Linked DNA regions of Arabidopsis thaliana. The protein of the gene in region 2 interacts with the protein of the main gene of each other region in a pairwise test. Each region holds a gene or a part of one and is shown on either strand. Other genes may lie near its edges.

Region 1 (9,228 bases), on a different chromosome or scaffold from region 2:
TACAGAAGCCTAGTCGGTCCGCCCAGTGAGCTCTGTATGTCCCATTAATATTCAACAACAAACAGATTGTACTTGAAATCACTGCCTGAAAGTTTGGTTGAACGAAACTCTAAGAACAAACCAACCTGAGAAGATATCAGAAAATCTTATAAAATGCAAAGTCTAGGAAACCTCAAGTGGTGATGTTGGGGTAGCCCAGCCAGAAAGTCCTGCCCCGAGGATCTTCAGATAAGAGATAAGAACGTAAGCATGCTGCAAGTCAGTGATCTAACCAAAATCTGTGTTGCAAAACAAAGTATATCTTGCATGAATATAACTTACTCGAAGCTTCTGCCCCACAAACAATTTGCCAGCATTCAGCTGCTTGGTTAGCACGACATCCAGAGCAGCATTCATCGAGTACCTGTGATTTAAAAAAAAATCCTATGGAAATGAGACAAGAAAACAGGTAACAGAACAGCAGTAGCAATTTCATACCACCCATCAGTGAGTTCGACTTTCACATTGCTGCAATTATCAGAACAATGTGCTTCCTGAGAACCATTATCGGTCCTTGGATTAATAGCTGATATGCAGAGGACCATCATTGAAGAAGCTGGAGCATCACCACTCAGAATCCTCTTGATTGCAGAGCAATGACCATGATTGACCTCTCTCTCATATCTATTAAGAAGATTAACCATGTTAGACTTTGCATGAGTTTAAGTAACGAGTTGTGTTGTGAGACTGGGAAACCTGTATTTTAGTTCCTCAAGAACATTGGTGATTGTTAGAAAGTTTCCTCTGCATTTGGCTGGGTAGTATATGTCGTAGCATGCAAGTTTCCAGACTATCCACCTGTAGTGATTAGTAACCCACCTAGTGCATATGTAGTGATAGATAAGTTAATAGATATAGACATCAAACTGTCTATCTAATAGAGTGACAATCACATGCAAGCTTCAAACGAACAGTCACACACTTTTTCTGATATAATAAACATATAACACGGTTAACATTTCAAGGGACAGAGAAAGTACTTTCTGGATGCATGTTGTAAGGAAGCACCCGACTCAGCCAACATTTGAAGAAAAGTTTCAGCTCCAACCTTGTTTGAAGAAGACTCATCACAGAATACATATTTATCTGCATTACTTGATTTGATTCTTCTGACATGGTCTGGCACATAATCCATCTAAAACCACCTCGTAAATGTGTTTGAGTGAATGAAGAAAAAATTTATGTAACGCAGGAACAGGTGAAAGGGACAAAAAGATTTTACCCTGGTCGTAGCTGTCGGATGCATTCCAAAAAACTCCTTGATATATACTCTTGGAGACTTTTCTGGATATCTTGTAGAAAGTACCTTTTTGGAAGTAAGTGTATCACACGATACAACAGACAAACCTGATAATAGACAGGACACCAAAATTATAAATCTGAGAACCAACCAATTAGATTAACAAAAAATTAAAATTAAAATTAATCGTATATATTACCACTTGAAGCTTGCTGAGCATTTTTCTTTAAAGGAGTTTTAAAGGATGAAATCCTTGGCCTTTTGAAAGGAGAAACGGAGACTGTCTTTCCCAGCCTTTTCTTTTGGGTACTGTCTTGTTTATTGTTTGCATAAGCTGTATCTCTGCGATTTGTTATATCAACAAGTGGCTGATCAGCAGGCCTTCCAAGTTGCCTAGCTCTTGGAATGAAACCGTTTCCCTTGGAATTATTCACTGCCATATCTGATGCTAAAGGCCTGTTATTTGATAGTCCATGTGTAGCAGGTTTACTGATATTCAGAGCACAATTGGTCTCATCAACAGCCGTATCAAATTTCTTGATCAAATTACCCCCTGAAGCTAGGTTCTCCAAGTTAACTGATCTAAATTGCTTTGAAGATGAATGAAGAGGAGATACAAAACTATTTGACGTATGTTTGTTGCTTGTCTTTTCTTCATGAGCAATATAACCTGTGTTGACACTTCCATTGTTTATAGCAATATCACTTAGCCTTTCATCTTTCTGTGGTGTAAAAAATTGATCACCTCCAGCTACATCATCAAAGAAAGACCCTAACTCAGGGTCACCAAGAAGGTTTCTGGCACGTTTCAACGCCTCAGCTGACACTGACAATGATTTTCCACCAGCAGTCTGAAACTTTGTTGGAGGCACCTTTAACGATGGATTTAAGATTTCAGATCTCTTCCCAGATACATAATTCTCATATTGTCCTGGAGTTCCTGAATGATGCTTAACCACTGTAGCATCAAACTCCTCATGAGTTTTTAAACCGGACCACCCATGTTGCTGGAGGGAAGAAGACGACTGGTTCACATGGTTAAATCCATTCAAATCATCTTCTTCTAGTCCTAACAATGCCTTGGCTCTTGCTAAACCGGCAGAAGATACATTAACCTTTTTGTTGGAAGCTGTCTGAAAAAGACTGTTGGGAACACCAAACCCACTCTCCCTGGGAAGAACGTTGTCTACACAATCAAAAAGAATCTTATTAACAAATAAACTATGAAAAAATGTCACTTCTAATATTTATTCTCTAAACGAAGTAAGATGTGTGTTGATTAGTTCTTCACTATTCATCGTTTTATCTGATAACAACCAAACTCAAGAAACCTGGAAGTTGAACGGAGTAGCAGCACAAACAACAAGTTCATATGTAAATGCGCACACAGCTGGATATAAGACTTAAAAAAAGAGGAGATAAGAACACACCTGAGTCAATTATCATATCACTTCCTAGAATAGACAAAGGTTTGGCAATTGAAGACTCTTTCAAAGGGACAGTTTTCCCCAAGGCCGTCCTGAACATTGGCATAGTTTCAGCTGTATCCACTTGTCTCGTTTGGGGAATTGAGCAATTTGTGTTCTGCAAATCTAAAAGTGTAGCCAAGAACATGGAACATTCAAAAGATTTTCAGGAACACATATTCACCAACATTAAGTAACAATTCAAGCGAATTCAGAAACAAATGACTAGTCAAGGGAATTCAATACTGTCACATAAAATACCTGAATAAGCAACATTCTCTGCTAAAATGGATTTGGCTTTAGCAATCGAAGACTCTTTAAGAACTACAGACTTCCCCAGCCCAGTCCTGAACATTGGGATTTCCCCAGGCATCGATTCTTCCCGTTCTATAAGCTTCGAGCATCCTTGAAGCATCAAATAATAATTCAATCTCCTTTGAGTCACATGACAAACACGATTCGACAAAGAAAAGGAAGATACGAAGAATCACCTTGGAGCAAGAGATCGGCCATGGAAGGTAGAGGAGCTGTCGATTCGAGCGCCTTGGTTGGCGTAGAATCCGAGACGGACTGAAGAATCCGGCCAGCGACTTCCCACCGGAAACCATCGCCGCTGGAATCGGAAAATAAATGCCACGTCGACATTTATTCAGTTCTAGGGTTTCCAAGTTTTCCGATTCGTCGTTATATGATTCAGCCGGAGAACTAAACCTCGCGATTCAGAATTGCCTACCACGCCAAGAGGGAGGAGTCGGGAGTGCGGAATTTTTATTTTTATTGTTTTATTTTCTTTCCCCAAACCAAAATCATCACCAAAAATCCAAAAAGTTAAAAGTTCTGACAAAGGCGGGAAAGTTGAAAAAGATTTGGGCCGAAATTATGAGACGCGTGGTTTTATTTTAACTTTGGGCTTGGTTTTTACGGACATAGCGTTCCAAGACAAGTGTGATATTGCCACGGCCTTTTATTGCGGTAACTAACGGCACGAATGCTAACCCGAAATCGTTCCAAACAATAATTGCTTACGTGGACATTTTAAAACATCTGTTCAATGTGATTGGTGACTGACTTCAATGAAAATTACATTGCAACAATGGTCAAGTATCACAGAAAATTACATTGCAACAATCTCCACCTTCAAATCTCTAAACACGCCAGATTCTGAGAACTATAATTTACACGGGGGAAGCCGCTGAGGAGGCAGAGGGTGCTACAGAGGGGATCGCGGGAACACCGATGAATGAGAGGAATCCGGAGGCGGCATGATCTTGTTCGTCGAGGAAGAGATCATCGGGAGCTCTAAAGGCGCCATGGACACAGATTGTTGCTATTCCGATCATGAGAGCGGATATCAATACAGATCCGACGCTTGTGAAGAAGATCACTGCGATCGTGGAGAGGATTAGGCCACCGAGAGTTTCGTATTCGGAGAAAGATCGGCCGAAGAGGATAAGAGGACGATCTGATGGACGGAAGAGGTAGAGGAAGAGCCAGGAAGCGGCGAGACATAGGAGGAGGATGAGAGAGAATGGGTGGGCGAGAAGAGAGAAACCAAGGATCAGAGCGACAATGCAAACGTAATTCACCCTGAAATAAGAGGAATTTTTCCGGAATCGCGTCCCGGCCTCGGAGAGAGAGTCAGGCTTTGTGAAAGCGGATCGATCGAGGAGCTCTGACCACGGACGGCTACGAGATAGACCACCACAGACCGTCTCGGTCACACCGTTGACAAATGCACGGACGACTGGAGGTTGCGATTCCACCACAGCGGTTACAATCGGAGGCTGATTGGTGGTGTCTGTTGCGGTGGTGGAAATTGGAAGAACAGGGGGATTTGTTGACACCATTCGATTTTGTTCTTTTGGGATTTTGAGATTGGAAAATTTTAGGAGACGAATGATTTAGAGGTTGCTGAAGTTGCGGTAGTGTTATGTATATATAGGATCACAATTACGCGTCTTTCAACTTTGATTATACACCTTGCTTCATCTGATAGCTAATCTATATTCATTTGCTAAAATAAAAATAAAAATAACCTCCTGATATTATAACTCAGGTTATTTTTTTGCTTAACGTAGTTTATACAATAATTCTTGATTACTTAGGCAAAGTGCATTTGACCATTAATGTTCCAGTCACAGGAAGTTTCCCTAATAGAAAATATTTTTAACACAATGTTGATCTGTCATATGGAGTAGTAGACTTGACAATGTCAAATCCTTTTTTCTTTGATAACATTCATCTTCGAATTCTAAACATAATTATATCTAACGAGTAGACAAAGACTAAATAACCATTGTTTACCCTGATAGTAAGTTGTAGCATCATATATAGCATAAATGTTATTTCTTAATGCAACTCCATCAAACCTTAGATATGTTTACAATACGAAGTAGTTCAAAGTTACTTGATCGATGAGAGTAGATCATACATTTCAAGACAATCACACTAATCACCTACCACGGAATTAAAGAGTCGCCCCGTTCCAACCAAAGAAGGATCCCTGCAAGAAGAACCACACGAGAAAAGAAATGTATAATTGATATATCAGGTGGTTATAGGCATAAACACTCCAGATGATGGATGACCCTCTAAGCCAGTTAGACAACGGATTTAGAGAAGTTGAACGAATCTCCTAAATAACTCAACAGTGTGGGTGTAAAGATTGAATTCGAGTAGTGGAACGGTTTATGCATTTGATTTAATTGTTTATAATGCCTAGTTTATGAGTAAAAGTTATAGGTCCGTCTTATGATGATGAACTTACACACATAAGATGTATTTGTTCCCTATTCATGACCTAGTAGTGCTGGTGTAAAGCGTGTAAACATTGTGCATATTCTTGACTTTGATGGTCCTAGAGAGACAACGAACAATGAAAATGAGACATGGACGCATATCGGGCATATGAAATCATTAACACATTTGCATATGTTATGTCACTACATCAAAAAAGTTATCAGAGAGAGGGAATTGCTTGCCTTGGTGTCATAAAACTTGAGGAAGAATCGAGACTTGGGCACCGATAGCTTAGTCTCAAGAATGGCGGAAACAGCAGCGCTTAGCTTCTTGTTCACATCCGCATTAAGGCCACCGATAGAAACTAATTCACCATAAGCTGCAGGATCCTCGGTCCCGCCAAATGACATAGGCACTGAGCCTTTCAAGACAATCATCACATACTGCAAATTACCACAATGAACAATGCAATCAGATAATGATCTAAGAAACAACATTACAGGACAAAAATATTTAAACATCACTAACATAAACAAGCAATCGTCAAAGCAGACCAATATTGTTTTTGAAAACAAACTTCAGCAATGAGAAATTCAAGGGCCAGGAATGGCCTAGAAATCGTGGTAAAATAAAAAAGAAGAACCCCAACGAAGATTGTACAAATAAGTCAAGAGAAGACTCCGGAAATGTGAACCACTAGAATAGAACGGAGCAACGAGATAAAATTGCTTAGGGTTTCTATATCATGCATGTGAAGAAAACAACACTCGAATCGCTGTTATTCAATAAGGAGAAGAAAATGATTAAGAGATAAAGACGCACACAAGGCAAATCTCAGGAGAAAACGAAGAATCGAAACAAAATTCGAACAGAACGAAACGAACTAGAGGTTAAATCGAGAGAGAAAAAGGGATTACGTTCTCAGGCTTGCCGATGATTTTCGCGACGGTGGAGGAAGCTTCCGAGAGAATGGAAGATGTATCGACGCCGTCAAGGTTAACGTTGGTGGAGAGGTTGAGGCACGGCATTTTCTTCTTCTTCTTCGTCTCTATCACTCGACGCCAATTTTTTTTAGTCAAGCGGATAAAGAGAGTAAGACCACCCAGGAATTTTCCCCTTTTATCCTTAAACCTTTTTTATTCGCTTAGGCCCAAGCCCATCGTTTTTACGTTTGCATTCTCGTTTCGAAGATTCTTTCAAACGCTCTGATGAAGTGATTTTGGATTATTTTGTTTAGAAATGGGCCTTAATCTAGTTATAAAAGCCCGCTCAAATTTGAGTGCCCAGGAACGTTTATAAAATAGATCTCTCGACCTAGACCCGAACGCACCTAATTGGTTAGATGTTTTTTTGTACTTTTTTATAGCAAATCGATATTTCCATTTTGCTTCTACTTCATAGAGGGAAACTCTTTCCCCAAAATCAAAACTCCTAAAGGCTTATCTCTGTCTCTCATGACTTGGCCACCAAAAAAACAACAGCTTCAAAGTTTCCCCATTTACAAAGCCACCGCAGATAGAAAGCAACGCCTACCGATCGAGGAAGAAGGCACGTTTTTCCACCCTTCACCTTCCTTAAAACACTCAACCTGCAAACACACACATGATCAAAGATTAAACCGTGTCTGCTTATGTAAATTGTTTTAATTTCATTTCAAGTTCAGAACTGATCCTACAGTGTCTAATATGTCATCCTCTTCCCCTTTGTATCCTCCGATCACATATATTGAGTCTTTAACCACTGCCACTGCTGAATATCCTCTTAAATCCTTCATTGGTTCTCCCGTCATCCATGTCCCTGTCCTTGGCTCATATATCTCAACACTCGATACCATTGTCTCACCATCAAACCCACCAATCGCATATCTGCAATAGTGCATATGAATACAACCTTAAAACTCTTACCCAAAATTTGTCTGTTAGTTACTCTCAAAGAAGAAGAAAAATGGGGAGAAGAAACTTACAGTTTTTCATTCAGAACAACAAGAGAATGGCAGCCTCTTCTCGACTTCATCGATGCAATATTCATCCAGGAGTGCTCTCTAGGATCAAACCTTTCAGCTGTGCTGTTAAAAGTAAGTTTCCAATAAATTGTTCTTGTTAGCTTCACATGTGTCAAGATTAGGGGAAAAAATAGAACACAAGGCTTAAATGTTCTTACTTCAGGTACTCTTTACCATCATAACCACCGACAGCATAAATTGAACTTTTATGCTCCACGGACGCAACTGCAAATCTCTGAGATCAAAGAGCAGTGACAACTCAGAGAATAAAGCCGAGGAGAAGGTCATGGTATCATCTTGCTAAGGCTTATAACCAGTAGGTGAGTGGAAGCATAAACTACATTTCTATTGTTAACCTGACACTCCTTACTTGAAATTATAACTTAGCGAAATAGAGTAGTTTTAACAATGGATTCTCTTTGGGAATTTATGTTTTTAGCTGTGAGCTTCTGTCAAAAATTTCCCAGTGGGGATCTAATTGACAACTTTTCAGATTTTTGGCTTTCACCATATGTCATGCGAATAGAGAAGAACGTTTACCTCCTGCCCCATTGACCTTGTTCTGATCCATCTCCCTATATCTGGATCAAGCATCTCAACATCTGAAAAAGATACCATCCCATTCCCACCTCCGATTGCAAATATTTTTCCATCCAAAGTGGCTCCACCTAAACTTCCTTTTCGCTCGTTTAAGGGGGGGCACAAGCTCCACTGGCCATCAGTCTGGTTAAAGGATTCAGCTTCACAGAAAAAAGAAGAGGCAAAACAGAAATCAAAGATCAGGCTTAAATAATTATGGTTAGAGAGAAAAAGAAGTGTGAAGTGGTAGACATTAACTTAAAATATGCACAGCCGAAGTGAAGTGCACTAAATTAATACACCTCACTTCACAATTTGCTAAAAATACTAGAGCCATTTGGTTTAGTAATATAATGAAAGTCACAGTAGTATGCTTTTGCCACCCATATTCCGTTTTCTAGTTCTTTTAGTTGTCTGTTAAGAATATCTGGAAGGTTTATAGGTTTATATATGTATTGTATACAGGCTCTAATGCACTAAATAGTTAACTCATTTTAAGAACAAGAGAAAAAGAGAGGCCGTACCTGAGTTGGTCCAGCCACGGCCACCGTCATCACCTCCAAAGACGTAAATTTTACCATCCAACTTTGCCACTGATGCATTTGAACGGATACAGCTCATTGAACTATGAGCCTTTACAACATTCCTGGATGGAAAATATGACTGCACTGATGACAACCATGTTTCAGAGTCTTTATCAAATCCCCCTAAAAGAAGAATTGCCTCAGTTGGATCTAAGCTGGTATCATCTGGTGAATGGATCTCCAAATCACTGCCACCAGCTTTGGTGATTAAAGGACCTGATATGGACTCCAGCATGTTGCAACGCTCTGTCAATTGATAAATTTCCTTGTGTGCTTTGTCCTGAAATACCAAATATCGAAAAGTAAAAGTGTTATGGTTTCTCCACCACTATATTTTGAGCTTATTGGTTCCAAAAACAAGGGAAAATGATACCGAGATGAACCCCTAGCTGAAAATGATAGAGGATCATTATCACTGATATAATGAATATCTGTGTGGGTGTGGTCATATTACACATGCAAACAGAATTCCAGCAGGAAGAATGAAAATCAAAATAGCAATAAACAAAATCTTACCAGCTTCTCTTCCAAGTAACATATCTTGGTTGAATTTTCCAGCCCGCATGCCCTGAGTTCCTT
Region 2 (8,810 bases):
GCCTCCATATATAATTTTCTGGTATTCGTTTGCTTTGAACTCAGCAGCTATACAAAAAGGAAATGGTGATTGTTTTTCCTTCCTGAAAATCAATCAGACGGTTTCTAAGATCAATGAGTTATCGGTATGACTAAACTGAGGCAACTCTAGCAGGTATGAGAAACTTTCTCTGCATCAAAGATCAAAAGCATGTTATATAACAAGTAATAACTATCATAAACCATTTCCTCTGTCACGGCAAAACTAAACCTCTACATAATTTGGTACAGAGAGTTGTTGGTTTCTTTCCTGGAGTTTTCCGTTGTCCAATTTGTGAAGTCGAAAATGTCAGGTGGTCTTTAATTATTCATGATCTTGCAGTTTTAAACCAGAAACTGATGGTAAAACTATGATTGTACGCAGATTGAATTGGTGTAATGAAAAGAGGTAATTAAGCATCTTAGCCAACCCTGACGGACTTGTTGTGTCAATAAATTTTTGTCTAACTATTTGATTCAACAAAACCTTTTAACACAAGATTCCCTCTCTCACTTGTACTTTTGTTTGCCTAGATTTGACTCCATGTTAACTTTTCCCACTGGATGTGTGCATTTGGGTTATAAGCAGATGTTGAAACGGTTGCCTTCGAATCAAGGTCATCTACACATGACTGCAGGACCAAGTGAGTGAAGCCGGGGCGGTTGAAGCCCTTGATTCTCATCTGAAGAATGATACTATTACCATGGTAAGGAAGCAACCAATGACAATTCTAGTATCAACTATTTGCTTTGACAATTCCAAAAAAATTATATTTATTTATAGTAACTCATTCTGACTATGTAGTATATTGTTTTATACTTCTATCATAAAAAAATTGAGTTGCGACATTTTGAATCCTAGTATCAAATTTAAATACTACCACCGCAGGATAACTAGAAGTGGACTACTTGAACATAAGCAAATCCAGATGGTCGAGGGTAGCTAAATGGTACTTAACCATGTTAAATTAAACCGATATTTAACCGGTACTCTTAAACCAATAGCGTTTGAAATTGGCGCAAAACAACTATAATTGAGCGAGAGTGGTAGAGAGGAGCAGAGGAGGTTTAATGGAAATCGAGCGTAAGCTGCTGCGTCTTCTCCACGGCCACAATACTCGAACCCGTTTACCCGAAATCCACGCCCATCTTCTGCGTCACTTCCTTCATGGTTCCAATCTCCTTCTCGCCCACTTCATCTCTATCTGCGGATCCCTCAGCAACTCTGATTACGCCAACCGCGTCTTCTCTCATATCCAAAACCCTAACGTTCTGGTCTTCAACGCCATGATCAAATGCTATTCGCTTGTCGGTCCGCCTCTAGAATCTTTATCTTTCTTCTCTTCCATGAAAAGCCGGGGAATTTGGGCTGACGAGTATACTTACGCGCCTTTGCTCAAATCCTGTTCGTCTCTTTCTGATTTGCGATTTGGGAAATGCGTTCATGGTGAGCTTATAAGAACTGGGTTCCACCGTCTTGGGAAAATTAGGATTGGGGTGGTGGAGCTTTATACTTCCGGTGGGAGAATGGGTGATGCACAGAAAGTGTTCGACGAAATGTCTGAGAGAAACGTTGTCGTCTGGAATCTTATGATTCGCGGGTTCTGTGACTCCGGGGACGTTGAAAGAGGTCTTCATTTGTTCAAACAGATGAGCGAAAGAAGCATTGTGTCGTGGAATTCGATGATATCTAGCTTGTCTAAATGTGGTAGAGATCGTGAGGCTTTGGAGCTTTTCTGCGAAATGATTGATCAAGGTTTTGACCCTGATGAGGCGACTGTGGTTACAGTCTTGCCAATTTCTGCATCTCTAGGAGTGTTGGATACCGGAAAATGGATTCATTCTACCGCAGAATCCAGTGGTTTGTTTAAAGATTTCATCACCGTGGGAAACGCTTTGGTAGATTTCTACTGCAAAAGCGGCGACTTGGAGGCAGCAACGGCTATATTTAGAAAAATGCAGCGTAGAAACGTTGTTTCATGGAACACATTGATATCGGGATCAGCCGTAAACGGAAAGGGAGAATTTGGGATAGACTTGTTTGATGCTATGATAGAGGAAGGGAAAGTAGCTCCAAATGAAGCGACATTTTTGGGGGTTTTGGCATGTTGCTCATACACAGGTCAGGTGGAGAGAGGAGAGGAATTGTTTGGTTTGATGATGGAAAGATTCAAACTTGAGGCGAGAACCGAGCATTACGGTGCCATGGTAGATCTAATGAGTAGAAGTGGGAGAATCACAGAGGCGTTTAAGTTTCTAAAAAATATGCCCGTAAACGCAAATGCGGCAATGTGGGGGTCGCTGCTCAGTGCTTGTCGTAGCCACGGAGATGTAAAGCTAGCAGAAGTTGCAGCAATGGAGTTAGTGAAGATTGAGCCAGGGAATTCGGGGAATTATGTGTTGTTATCTAATTTGTATGCAGAGGAAGGGAGATGGCAAGATGTGGAGAAGGTACGAACGTTGATGAAAAAGAACCGCCTTAGAAAGTCTACTGGCCAAAGCACCATTTGCGATGTTTCAGTCTGAGAAGTAGCTGGTTTTTGTCAATAGAGGCCAGACTTATTGCTAAATACGGTAATCAAGTTCATTTGTAAGCACATTTGTATTTTTCTGGCTCGGTGAAAATGCGGCCACCAGGTTTGATTAGTTTCTAATGAATTGATTAGAACAAAAATCTGTTTTGTTCGGTTTCTTTCAACAAAGAAACACAACTACGCCAATAGTATAATGCACAAGAAGTTTGGAGTCGACTTACTACTATTAAAACTTAAAAGAAAACCAGAATAGAGAGAGTGAGATGTCTGATTCATAAAACGTGAAGCAAATCACCAATGCTGTCTTGGTTTCCTACTTGATATACTGAGATAGCCATTTAAAACCCTCGCCATAACCCATTTTGCGGACGATGCTGCACATGAAGACCTCAAGGGGACGAACACCAGAGTCTTCAAGATTCACTATGCCTTTACCGGTAGTGAAATTGGTGAGACCTAAGTAATACCTAAGCTCATCTTCTGAGGATGCATAAGGTATATCAATCTTGTTGCCAAGAATAAGACAGGGAACATTTGCTAAGGCTTCATCTGATAAAAGAGCGTCTAGCTCTCTTTTCGACTCCACAAATCTATCCCTGTCGTAAGCATCCACTAGGTAGACAACAGCATCAACCTTTATAGTTTATACACACACACAGAGAAAGATTTGATTTTGGTTCCATCATAAGCAAATCAATAAACACAAAACATGTAATCTAGTTAGGATTAGGATGTGAACCTTGGCATAGCAGTCTTTCCAAACCCTACGAGCAATCTGATGGCCACCCAAATCAAAGGCCTTGAAGTTGATTTTGCCAATGCTAAGTTCCTCAGACGTGGGATGCTGTGTTGGCTGGTGCTGAACTAATCTCTGCAACACCAAAAGCGATATTAAAGCATCTTCGATTACAAGAATCACAAAATTTCTCAGTAATACATATATTAGTTGAAGAGAGAGCGTAGAAGTAATAAAGCCTACCTCATCTTTGAGCATGTGAAGCAAAGTAGTTTTTCCGGCATTGTCGAGGCCTAAAAACAAGATTTTCGCCTCTTTTTTGCACAACCCTAACGAGGCCAAGATTCCATAGAACCAATCGAATAAAAACATGACGTCTTCTTCCTGATATCGGATTATAATCCACACAACAACCAAAAAAATCACCAGAACAGAATCGGGAGACAGAGAGAGATGAAGAACAGAACAGAAAACCAAAATCAAAGTTTCGTTTCGTTGATGAAGATATAGTTGTATGTTGTAACATTAGTGTATATATATGCAAACAAAAAAAGAAATTAAAAAACACGTGGGTAATGGGGACTGGTAAATTGATGCGGAGCCTTGTGATTGGTAGTCATCATCGTCATTCGATCAATATGAACCGTCGGATCCTAGAACTTGTCGTTGCGATGTTTTTTATTACGTTAAACTTTTTAAGATTAAAGGCTTAATACCACGTGGCAAAACCTTAATGGCCAGGACCCAGGAGAGTTTATTTCCTCCACAAGTTATTATTATGAGCCGTCTGAGGAAAGCTACCCACATTTAATTCAAACACATAGGATACATTTTTTTTATTGTTCAACAGACATGATCAAAGTGTATATACAATGGAGTATTTAACTTTGAAACAGAAATAAAATAACATGTAATTACTGTTTCAACGCATAAAGAATCAAAGTGCTTACGAAGACGAGAAATATTGTAGTTCCGGTGAGACCACGGTGTTTGAAGCAGTCACCCCCGCTTCCTACAGAATGGCCACCACCGGTACCGCCATTACCATTTCCACTGCTGCCACGGCCGCCGCTATTAGAAGATCCTCTACTGCCCCCTTTACCGCTGTTGCCGCCTCGACCACTGCTGCCACCTCCACCACCACCACGACCTCCTCCACCGCCACCACCGCTGCTTCGAAGCTCCCGCTGCCAAACCGGGAAATCTATCTTACAACACGTTTTGTTACCTAAGATGGAATTAGGTTTCAGATGGACGGCTGAGACAGAAGTATTTGTGATTGAAGCAACGGCTTGGATATGCGCATGAATCGCTAGTAACAATAGTAATACGTGAACCATACGTTTCATGAATCTGTGTATCTCCATACTAATCTTTTCTTTTATGTTTATTTATCGCTCTAACCCAAAAAGGAAAAAATGAGCTTTTGTGTAGTACGATCTCTGTTTATATTTCATCTGGTCAACGTCTAAAATCTAACTTCATTTCCTAGGAAAAAAGAAATGGATGCCACTACTAGTCTACTATAGAGCAATATTAGCGAAATATTTACGTTTATGTAAGGTGTCGAGCCTCTCATTTATCAAATTTTGAAAAATTCCTAAGGAAAGGCCAACTAACTTTTTCTTAGCTATGAACAGGCCCAACAACTTTGCTTGGGTCATAGGTCCCACGAGGAAAAAAAAGAATTTTGGATATGGCCTGGCTAAATCTATCTTTATGTATTTTTGTTATGTTCAATTTTACGATCATTACAAGCACAAACATTAACTTAAGTAGGTCTATTTACTATCTTTAATTTCTGTTTCATTTCGTTTAATTTCTGAATGAGTCTAGTTACGTTCCATTGGTTTCATTTTCCAGGCATAATCAATACACAACATTAAGTGACCAAACTAAACTAACCTATTACAATGTCTACCTCTTCTCATTCCGTTCACGACCCGCAACACGCATCACAGATCATTTTACAATAATCTACATCAGGTTACCAACTGGTGCTAAACTAATTAGTCTCAAGTTTCCAAGCATTATACGATATATAGCAACATATAACTTCGTGGTAATACGTGTCTGTTTTTTTCCCAATATCGTGTGTATTATATACACCATTAAAATATTATATCTTCACCAATTTTTGAATGAGTTGGTATCATGTACTCCATGAATGTATCACAAAGCGAAAAAAAAAGAATTAATATTATTGAAAAAAGTCTACAAGAAATTGAAGTATATAATTTTCAATGAATTGGATTATCAATAGGGTCACATTCAAAGATGTGGTTACAATCATCAAAGCAAAACTTTTTTCGTTTGTATTTCTAAATATCTTATTTCTTGTTGACTGAATTATATATATCTCGAAGGAAAACTAAAAATAAATTTTCAAGCTGACTTTTATTCAGCTGGTTATAAAACCATCGAATCATGTTTATATTGGCTTTCAAAACACCTCTACATACGCAAGAAAAAATAGTTATACAAGGTAGTTGTCCAACCAAGAGTTTCATTATAAGCCTTTATTTCTTCATAGAATTTAGAGATCCCCAGAATTTATTTTCACTTTCTAATTTATTATAAGGGAAGTAAAATAGCTCTGCATAGAATTGCACATTTCTATTGGTATATAACTAGCTACACATGCAACTTTTCAAATTTAAACATAAATTTTAATAAGACAATGGTATTACTTATTAGTACAAAGAGATACAAATTCTGTTTAGATCAACTGGGAATTGTAATCGCTAAGAATTTTTGTTAAAACATAGTACAAATTTATTTATTCCCATTATAAAACCTAGTGGATGGTTGGAAACTACATAAACGGGTTATAAATTCCGTAGCTATAGAAGTTCGTACATATTAAAATGGAGCAATTAAGAATAATAAACAGAAAATGATTTATAATATTGAAATTGTCCATCTATAGAAACCCAGGAGACTCGGGGGCCTCTGAATCATGCCTCGCTCTTCTTCTTCGTTTCCTTTTTCTGTTGTTTTAATTTCATACAAAGAACAACAAAAAAACAAAAAAAAAACAAAGAGAGGGTCAAACATTTTTTTTGTTCTCTCTCAATTTCTTTCATTATATTTTCTCTTCCTTATAAATCTGAGCAATGTTCCACATATAAGTGAATATTCTTGTATCTATCTACACAGCTTTGATTTTCTTTGTTCGGTTTTGGAAAAATCTGTTTCGAGTTAAGAATTCTAAATTTTGGTTGTGAGATTCTAGTGGTCGAGATTTGGGGTTTGAGAATTTTCCAGGTTTCTTGTTGATCAAGCTAAGAGCATTGAATCGTTTCTTGTCAATGGCGACGGAGCAACAAGATTCACAACTTTGTTTGGCGACGATTCTGGAGGATTTTCTTAAACAACGAAACATTCAAGTTAGCGTTGGTGTGGATTCTTCGAGCTTGAAAAAAGCCGATGAAACTTGTACGTTCGTCAATATTCCTCTGTTCTTTCTTTTTCTATTTGTCCTTTTGGTCCATTTTTGAGATTAGGGTTTGTAATTGATAATTGAATTAGGGAATATAGATGGATTACATAATTTTTTTAGGATGATCCATCGCATTTTTTGAATCCATATACCGCGTGAGCTTCTTGTTTCACCAATGATTTTCTGAAATTTTGTTGTTACGATCTTTATATTTGTTTACCTAGATCATCATGAAACATATTTCATATTTTTAAGTGCTTATTTTAATCATCACAATTGGTGTAGTTGGAGGAAGGGATTTGCCAGTAGATCCTTCAGACTTGAGAAGGTATGAAGCAGCAAGGTGGGTAAGGAACACACTTGGTGTAGTTGGAGGAAGAGATTTGCCAGCAGATCCTTCAGAGGAAGATTTTAGAATTGCATTAAGAAGTGGAATTTTACTCTGCAATGTCCTCAACAGAGTTAAACCTGGTGCTGTCCCAAAAGTAATGTCTCTCACCTAATTTCTCTTATGTTTTCCTCTTCTTTATTACAGAATATTTTATGCTCAACTTTTTCAAAGACTTTTTTGAAACGTTTAGGCCTGCTTGTATAAAGTTGTGCAAGCATGATTAGTACAACCATTTTGTGTAATATTTTTATAAAAGAGGTTGAGAAATTGATTCTTTTGTTGCCGATACCTTTGTTATTAGGACCGTTTGTTCTGATTGTTTCAGTCTTGATTCAGGTCGTCGAAGCTCCAAATGATCCTCTTGTTAATCAAGACGGTGCAGCTCTATCTGCGTTTCAGTACTTTGAAAATCTTCGAAATTTTCTTGTGTTTGTGGAGGAAATGGGTATTCCAACGTTTGAAGTCTCCGATTTTGAGAAGGTAATGGTTAGGTTCGAATCAATGGTCATCATAGTTATTCAAGGCAGCTTGACCTACCTTGCCGGAGGGGTTACCTAGACAAAGCTGAATTAACATTGACACACATTCTGTTTTGTGCTTGATGTGTTGTTCTCAGGGAGGTAAATCCGCAAGAATCGTGGAGTGTGTTTTGGCTCTAAAGTCATATCGTGAGTGGAAACAGAGCGGAGGAAGCGGTACATGGAGATACATTCTGAACTCAAAACCAACCACGTTTGGCATTGCAAAACAATACAAACGCAAAGACTCAGAAGTACCTGTGGATGCTGTCACAAATAGCCCTTCTAGCACTCCATCAAGTGAACAACCTTTGTTAGATCAATCTGATTCTAATACCAAAAATGATGTTAGTTAGCTATACCAATGCCTCCCTAGCTAGTATTGATTAAAGTTAAAGCTCTCAACTTACATTTTTAGTTTTTTTTTTAGGGAACTGCCAGTTCAATAGATGCCATTGTCCGTGCTGTTTTTTCTGATATGAAGCAAGAAGATATTCCAGTAGTAAGTATTAACTTACCAAATGATCAATATTATTTTGAAATGCAGGTTTTAGAATAATACTCTCTGCCGTTCTTGTTTATTTCCAGATTGTGGAAGATATGCTGAAAAGCGTTATGGTAGAATATGAACGTAGATTAGCAACACAGAACGAATTGGTAAGTAACTTTAGTTATTCACCCTTAGATCTAATGATCTCATGTATCTTGGATTACAAGGAATTATACCTTTTTTACACTTTTTATCTTGAATATGCAATTATTTAGCTACTGATGAGCGCGGGAAACAGAGATAAGCTTGGCAGTGGCGATCTTGGGAGAACTATTTCAGGAAATGAGGAGACGCTAAGTGATGCTTCGGTAATTGTACCACCCTTGAAGTTGGTGATCTTGTTATCCATATAAGCATACTACGATCTTCATGGATTTGTATATCTATCATCATAATGTGTTATATGCCAAACTGGTTTAATGATTACATATTTATGCAGTACGGAGAAGAAAACGTGACAGAGATTGTAAACAACAACATGGAAGCTTCACAAGATAGTAATGTTGAAGAATTGGAAAACCAAGATTATGAGCTCTATGCAATTTCAAAAGAGAAGACCGAGAAGCAACAACTGATAATCGAAAGACAACAAACTCATACTGAGGTATATATAATTCAGTTG

The links.
Region 1: the proteins of SARA1A (region 2) and PRA1.B5 interact in a two-hybrid assay, tested with the Arabidopsis thaliana proteins (one large-scale study listed by BioGRID).

What each region holds. Positions count from the first base shown.
Region 1 is NC_003076.8:237,522-246,749, forward strand, and holds PRA1.B5 (prenylated RAB acceptor 1.B5), read right to left. Parts: upstream 4,802-9,228; 5' UTR 4,593-4,801; coding exon 3,921-4,592; 3' UTR 3,691-3,920; downstream 1-3,690. Other genes in the region: BRCA2B (BRCA2-like B), read right to left, coding at 4-85, 172-222, 322-403, 478-663, 736-858, 1,020-1,174, 1,262-1,386, 1,479-2,465 and 3 more; AT5G01650 (Tautomerase/MIF superfamily protein), read right to left, coding at 5,546-5,602, 5,727-5,927, 6,402-6,512; AT5G01660 (influenza virus NS1A-binding protein), read right to left, coding at 6,983-7,072, 7,160-7,349, 7,448-7,549, 7,645-7,721, 8,027-8,226, 8,590-8,929, 9,166-9,228. UniProt on the Arabidopsis thaliana protein: May be involved in both secretory and endocytic intracellular trafficking in the endosomal/prevacuolar compartments.
Region 2 is NC_003070.9:2,959,996-2,968,805, reverse strand, and holds SARA1A (secretion-associated RAS super family 1), read right to left. Parts: upstream 3,784-8,810; 5' UTR 3,660-3,783; coding exon 3,531-3,659; intron 3,423-3,530; coding exon 3,291-3,422; intron 3,186-3,290; coding exon 2,865-3,185; 3' UTR 2,834-2,864; downstream 1-2,833. Other genes in the region: AT1G09195 (Ppx-GppA phosphatase), read left to right, coding at 48-86; AT1G09190 (Tetratricopeptide repeat (TPR)-like superfamily protein), read left to right, coding at 1,089-2,543; AT1G09176 (uncharacterized protein), read right to left, coding at 4,202-4,654; AT1G09170 (P-loop nucleoside triphosphate hydrolases superfamily protein with CH (Calponin Homology) domain-containing protein), read left to right, coding at 6,599-6,725, 7,015-7,214, 7,457-7,600, 7,737-7,985, 8,069-8,140, 8,227-8,295, 8,404-8,496, 8,628-8,792.